2 linked regions of the Schizosaccharomyces pombe genome follow. The gene in region 1 interacts genetically with each later gene. Each region holds a gene or a part of one and is shown in the gene's direction. Other genes may lie near its edges.

Region 1 (3,756 bases):
TCCGTTGTTGACTTGACCGTCAAGTTGGCCAAGCCTACCAACTACGAGGACATCAAGGCTGCTATCAAGGCTGCCTCTGAGGGTCCCATGAAGGGTGTGTTGGGTTACACCGAGGACTCTGTTGTCTCCACCGACTTCTGTGGTGACAACCACTCCTCCATCTTCGATGCCTCTGCCGGTATCCAACTTTCTCCTCAATTCGTCAAGCTCGTCTCTTGGTACGATAACGAATGGGGTTACTCCCACCGTGTTGTTGACTTGGTTGCCTACACTGCTTCCAAGGATTAGATTGCTTCTTTCGATTTATTCCGTCGTCAATCTATATCTCTCTAATCAGCCGTTGTTAAACTCCAAGCTATTCAACTGAACATGCGTTCGGTTTTGGGGGGTCTTACATATGTGCGAACTTTTGGTTTTTTATTCTTATGCTTGTTTTCCCCCTTTTCCTTTTCTGGGGTTTGCTACGATAATGATAGACATGTATGAGATTTTCCTCTTTTATTCCACGTTATCATTTTGATTGCGCTCCTAGGGCGATCTCTATAGCTGACGACCTTTCTACGAAATAGATTAAGATATAATTTTAAATGAATTGTTTTTTCTTCACTTGTTTTTAATGTGTAAAAAATCCGTAAAGTATGTGGTGTATGAAAATTTTGATTTGAAATGTGGTAGTTTATTGGAGGTAAAAAAGGTAGACTGATTTATAAAGCATTATATAGTTATCATAGTTGCTTGTTAGCATTCTATTACCGTTTGCATTTGAGATAATTGTTTTCGTCTTGATGATAGATATTCGCTAAGATGTTTCCATAAACTTGGCCCACGCTTTTTTGGGTGAAGTAAATAATTTTTCAGTCCTTTTGAGGGCCTCTGCTGCCTATCTTTACTGCCCCTATTTGCAAGTTTCTAGAATGGAAGTGTAAGTCAAACGATAAGAAAAATTATATATTAATAGATAGCAATTTAAATTTAGCATTTTCATTCTTAGTGTTCGTTCACTCCACTTTCCAGATCAATCTCAGACCATCAAGTATGATGATGAAAGCGAGTGTTCCATTTAGGCGGTTCTCGCAACTCTTAATGTTTGATACTTAGAGCTGTTTGTGCTTCAGAAAATTATTCAAAAAATTTCATGCTTGCATTTGATTCTTTTCTGGATAACAGCTAATCCTGTTTTTTGTATTTTGTCCTTTGGTTTTTTGATACCGCATTGCTAGTCACATGTACCCTCATAAAAAATACAGTTATATCTAAGCGAGAAACAATCGCTCGATTGCGAGGCTCATCTATGGAACTGTTTATACTTGTGTCTCATGTTCCAATAGCTTGAAAGTGTGTTTAAGCATGAGATTGTTATTTAAATTATCAATTCATATAGTAACAATATCTGCTTTGGTGCCAAACATTTGAATTCCTTACGAACTAATAATAAGATTGCTTCTCAGATTTCTCAGTGGAATACTTCCATTAGTAACTGCACCATGGGAGTTTGAAAGCTGCTGTCTTTCCTTAAATTACAATAGTCCGTGTAGAAGATGAGTTTTTGGTTCGTTCAATATGTGACTACTTGTTCACCTATCTTTCGCTTCGGCTCGTACTCTACTTTTCAACGCCTGCTACTTGGCTGAACCTCTTAGTAAGTAACGGATGTAGAACGGTTCTTACCAAAGCCAACGTCTCTCTAATCGACATTTATTTCAAAATTCTATCAGTGGAGAGTATATATTGAGGTTTATAGCTTTTACGGGCCTCGAAAACCTCGTGTAGTAAAATTTGAAATTGTTGGGAGAAGTATGACCTTAAATCCTTCGACTCTCAACAATGGAACTCTTGGGGACCTGAAAGAGCACAAGGATGTCGTCTTGTCTAGCAATGCGCAGACCGATGAGAAACGTTTCGAAGAACCGTCGCTAGAGGTGGGAGGATCGTTAGCGAAAGTGGAAAATGGCCTTTCCACATCAATTTCATCATCTGCAAGCAATTTGGAGGGACAGCAAGCTCCTTTCTTTACTAAGCAAAATTCGTGCTTGTCACGCTTTCGTGAGCTAGCTCAGACTTACAACATACACGAAATTAATCTCGAGGAGTACGTTTCCCAGATAAAAGAGGTTAAACAATCTCTGTACTCCGACGATAGCGTATTTAATGAATCCAAAAGTTCTTCACCTCCAGATGCTCATACTGATAAATATTTCACTCCATGTGGATCCCCTACTAAGCTGATACACTCGACACTATTGGAAGAGAGAGATACTCCGTCCTCCCTAGAACATGTTAGCTTTTACCTTCAAGAAAGCGCAGTATCAGAAGTTCGGTTTGATAAACCTTCAAACAATGGTCCTCTAGGGAGGTCATCCCTAAATCTAAGCTCCCTTTCACACGAGTTACAAACTTCACAAGATTCTCCCTCCTTGTCGGCTACGAATCAACTATCCTCATCAGATACGTTGGAACCTCTCCAATACCCACCATCTTCATTTGGCTCTCAAAGACAGTTCAATGCCTCTCAAGATTCTCCAAAGCGAAGCCCTTCCAAGGGATCTTGGTCCTCTATCCTCCGCCGCCCCTCTCTTACTTACTCTCCAAAACGTCAGTCCACTGGCTTGCATCGTCGTTCTTTAACGAATTATTTTAAATTTCCTCATCGTAATGCACATCAACATAATGCAATTGCTCATAATCCTTCCGTATTTGGTAAACCTATCGGCGATTTAACGTCAGATCCCACAAATCTTTGCAAATTTACATTTCCCACTCCTGAATGTGCACCTCCTTCTTTGTTGCTCCCACATATTTTTGCTCAATGCGTACATTTTCTATCTTTAAATGCTTTGCATGTACCGGGAATTTTCCGCATTAGTGGTTCTGGTCCCGTAATAAAAGCAATCACAGAATACTTTTATTCTCCACCTCATTTTTGGCTTGATGAAACATCAGAAATTTTTAAGCGTATTGGATTTCCAAGTTATATCGATATAGCAGCTGTCTTAAAACGGTACATTATGTTATTGCCAGGTGGCCTTTTTACGCATAAAGATATATTGAATCTTTTAGTACCATTATACGTTGATTCAAGTAGAGTAAAGGTTCCTATAGACATCCGGAATGAAATGGCCGCTCTTTGCTTTTCACAAATAGATTCTTACGTGCGCTTTTCTATCCTTTGCTCTCTACTAGCATTATTGCATCAAATAGCTACACGGACTCAAGAGTTGGAAAATGGAATGGAAAATACCAAAGACTCTACTTTGATGAAGCCGGAAGCCCTTGGTATTATTTTTGGTCCTTTATTGTTGGGTAACTCTTCTACTGATCTTTCGAAATCTTGTCCTTCTGGAAATGTGAATGACCTTATGAGATTTGAAACCGAAAAGGCTAGAGTTGAAGCCAAGATTGTAGAGGGACTGATTATTCACTGGCCAGAGGTACTACTTAAAATCAATTCTCTCGACATACCCAATTGTTTTTCTGATGTTGGGTTAACTGACCAAGTTGCTATTTTTACTCCTGCAGTCCCGAAAGAAGATTCTCCAGAACAGATACCTGAAAATGTGAATGCATCTGAGGAAAGTTATCCTAATGTTAAGCATATCTCGAAGCTTCCTTTAATCAATGACTCTTCCGATAATGAATCGGGTAACCAAGAAAATGATGATGCTGTAGCAAATGAGAGTACCAAAGTCGTTGTTGACAATCAACAGCCCCAGCCTAAGATTTCCACCGTTTCTGATACTGCTGTTCCTTCCATGAGTT
Region 2 (3,756 bases), on another chromosome or scaffold:
AAACGACTCCTTTTTTAAGACGATATTAGACTCTTTGAAGTCTAAAGGAATACAATAAAATTTCCTACCAAAAATACATGCAAAATCCTTCAAAGCATCTAAACGACCCTCTTTATCAAACACTTCAGCTAAGTACGAAGCAGCGAAAGGTTGGGTAAAAACACCAGCTGCCGGTGGCGTCTTCAGTTTAGAAGACCTAGGATGAGGTGCAGAATCACTCCCAAAGAAAAACTTGGGATTTTTACTGGTAGCAGCTTCAATAAGAGCACGTCGGTCTCGTTCGGTTTTGGCTACCGGCTTGCAGAAACAATAAGGATCATCCTGCCAATCTTTTTGTGTGAGATAAAGATGATGGGCAGTTATAGTACCCGCAACACTTTCACCGCATGCTTTTACTGCCTCAACAGCGTCGGCAGTGGTGCAATGTTCAAGCACAATCTTGAGTTTTGGAAATCTTTGGTGAAGGTCTAGTAAAGTAGGAAGAAACTTGGGCTCAGCCGTAAAAACGGTGTTATCCTTAGAGGGGGGAACTTCTCCGTGAATGTTCAGAATCATACCTGTTTCTTGCATTGCAGCAAAGGTAGGATAAAAGGGTTCGTAGCTTTCAACACCACTTTCAGAATTGGTAGTAGCTCCTTTCGGATATGATTTAACTCCTCGAATTCCCTTTTTTGCAGCTTCGTAAATAACCTCAGGTGTAGTTTCCGGTGAGAGATAAAGACTCATTAAATAGGTGGTCTTGGAGTCAAGCTGCTCAATTTCTTTTTTATATTGCAAACAGGCATCAACGGTAGTAATTGGGGGGATTAAATTAGGCTGTTATACGCGTTAAAAAGTTAAACCTTTGTAACCTTCAAATAAATTTTTTGAATAGCACAATACTTATTACATACCATTACATACGCAACAGAGACTCCACCCTCTGCGACCGTTGGAACTACAGCTTTTAACATATTATCTTGCCTTAGATGAACATGCATATCAGCCAAACCAGGTATTTTCAAACTCATCTTGTATAGGTAGTGGGTATTGTCAAGTTGAGTAACTAGAAAGGTGCACTTTATACTTAGTGCTAAATTAAACCAAGAATAAACAATCTTAACAATTGGTAAAAAAATACTACTTAAAATTAGTATGTTTCTTTCAATATAAATTAGTGAGGGTAATATAATTACTTCAAAAAAATTTACTATACCGATAATTCTCCAACTAATTTCAAAGATTTAATTGATCGGAGTTAAACCAAATATTATTTCTTAATTCTTTTTATTAAAGTTCAGATGCCTAATTCTAAACATAAGAATTCACCAACAGCTTAATTATTAGACCACCGTCCTGACTCTTCGGAAGCATAGAGCTACTTGCTTAATCATTGAAGCTCCATTATTAGATCTACCTTAGTATAAAAGAAATCCGAAACGTGTAACTACTAGCATTTCCTGTTTATGTGTAAATATACAGGTACATAATATGAAGAATTATGGTCATCAGTACAAAGCAGTTTAAATTTAACTTAGTAATATCTTGGCATCTGAAGAATATACAACTCAATGAATAGCAGCATCTCAAAAGTGTGCATTCTAAACGTCTTTAAGATTTATACATTTCTAATTTCAATAGACAGTTACAGCCATTGTTACGTTTTACAAAACATAACTGTGTACCTAAAAGCATATAGCGTTAATATTACTATGCAGTTTTAGAGTTTTTTTTTATCTATTAGGCAATATGATTGCTTTTCGAATCTATCATGTAAACCGTTAATTTTGAATATTGCACTGCTACGTCGTATCTTATTTTCACAGACGCGCACAGAATCTAGAGAAAATATGCAGTTTGCATAAAGCAAACTACTAAATTCAAGGGAAATCGGATTTTTGGGTACTTAATGGCAGAATTGGAGACTGGAGCGGTTCCTATTCGGGAAGAGTATGCTTGAACCTCGCTTTCAATAGTCAATTACTAACTATACCTTAGATTTTTGGTGAAACAAGATGGAAATAAAAAACGAAAGCGTAAAGAGAGGGGTCAAAATAAACGGAGAGAAAAAATTCACGTAAAAGAGAACAACGCTCTTTGTCCAGCTATATCTATTGGGAATGAGTGTCCATATAAAGAAAACTGCAAATTCCCACACGATGTGGAGGCTTACCTTGCTACCAAGGCACCTGACATTGGAGACAAATGCCCTATATTCGAGCGGTATGGAGTATGCCCAGCTGGTTTCAAATGTCGCTGGCTAGCGGGCCATGTTGTTATCAATGCAGACGGAAAGTACGAGCTTATAAAAAAACCCGATGGGCAGTTTACGCTTTTTACCGTAAATACTGTTGGAAAAGAGGTACAGAGAAAGCTAAGAACAAAACAGTTAGATCTATCAAAGGCTGAAAGTATTATATCCGCAGTTTTAGGTGAAGAAAAGCCCGACCCTTCTTCAAAAGTATCCAATATTCCTGAGGAAAATAGAGATGCCACTAGTGCTATTTCCGAAGGAAAAGAGACAGAATCTGTTTCACTGGAAGAAACTGGGGTGTTAAAAAATCAAACCGTCTCGGTCAATGTCGATTTAAAAGAAATCTCTTCACAAGCTCGGTCAAACATCGCTTTACCTACTTTACGGCCTCAAGAAAAAAATCTCATTGACTGGCGAGACAGAAAGATTCTAGCTCCTCTTACCACCGTTGGAAATCCACCTTTTCGTCGTCTTTGTGGCTCTCTGGGTGCTGATACGTTTTACTCCGAAATGGCGATGTGTTATCCACTTATGCAAGGTCATCAACCTGAGTGGGCTCTTGTTCGTGGGCTAAACTATGAGCGTGAAATGATGCGAGGTGGTCGTCGTGGTATATTAGGGGTCCAACTAGCTACCGGAAAACTTTGGCAGGCCACTAAAACTGCACAAGTAATAGCTGAACAATGTGATGGCGTTGATTTTCTCGATTTAAATTGCGGTTGCCCTATAGATTTGGTATTTCGTCAAGGCGCCGGTTCTTCTCTTCTCGAGAATCCTGGCAGGTTACTTCGTAATCTCCAAGGTATGGATGCGGTATCTGGCCAAATTCCTGTCACCGTAAAACTTCGTATGGGAAACAAAGACGACCACCCAGTTGTCAAAAATTTAATTGGTAGAATTTTCAACGAAACAAACACTTCAGCTGCTACATTACATGGAAGATCTCGCCAACAGCGATATAGTAAAAACGCAAATTGGGATTATATTGGTGAAATTGCTTCTAAAGTAAAAAGTATGAATGAGAGAATAGATGAACTTCCTGAGGACTCCTTGCGTACCCAACCTCTTTCGCTGATTGGAAATGGAGACTGTTATTCATGGCAGGATTGGTATGATGGTGTTAACAAGGGTGTTGATACTGTGATGATTGCCCGAGGTGCACTCGTTAAGCCATGGATTTTTGAAGAAATTGAAGCTCGTCAGTTTATTGATAAGTCATCAACTCAACGACTCGAAATGTTGGAACAATACTGTAATAATGGTTTAGAGTATTGGGGTTCTGACTCTCAAGGAGTCAATACGACTAGGAGATTTTTCTTGGAGTTTATGAGCTTTTTCCATCGTTATACACCTATAGCTTTGTACGAAGTTCAAAGGCCCAGATTAAATGATAGACCGCCTCTATATACCGCGAGAGATGAGATGGAAACTCTCTTGGCCAGTAATAAAGTTACGGACTGGGTTAAATTGAGTGAGTTCTTCCTAGGTCCTACTCCTGAGCGATTCACCTTTACACCAAAGCA

The links. A genetic interaction does not mean that the proteins touch.
Region 2: mutations in rga6 (region 1) and dus3 together harm fitness more than expected from each alone (negative genetic interaction), as found in Schizosaccharomyces pombe (one large-scale study listed by BioGRID).

Annotation. Positions count from the first base shown.
Region 1 is NC_003423.3:579,451-583,206, forward strand, and holds the start of rga6 (Rho-type GTPase-activating protein Rga6), read left to right. Parts: upstream 1-1,694; 5' UTR 1,695-1,796; coding exon 1,797-3,756. Other genes in the region: glyceraldehyde 3-phosphate dehydrogenase Gpd3, read left to right, coding at 1-288.
Region 2 is NC_003424.3:4,427,796-4,431,551, forward strand, and holds the start of dus3 (tRNA dihydrouridine synthase Dus3), read left to right. Parts: upstream 1-1,840; 5' UTR 1,841-1,888; coding exon 1,889-1,929; exon of another isoform or gene 1,930-1,977; coding exon 1,978-3,756. Other genes in the region: dihydroorotase Ura2, read right to left, coding at 1-816, 894-1,010. UniProt on the Schizosaccharomyces pombe protein: Catalyzes the synthesis of dihydrouridine, a modified base, in various RNAs, such as tRNAs and mRNAs. Modifies the uridine in position 47 (U47) in the D-loop of tRNAs. Also able to mediate formation of dihydrouridine outside of the D-loop of tRNAs.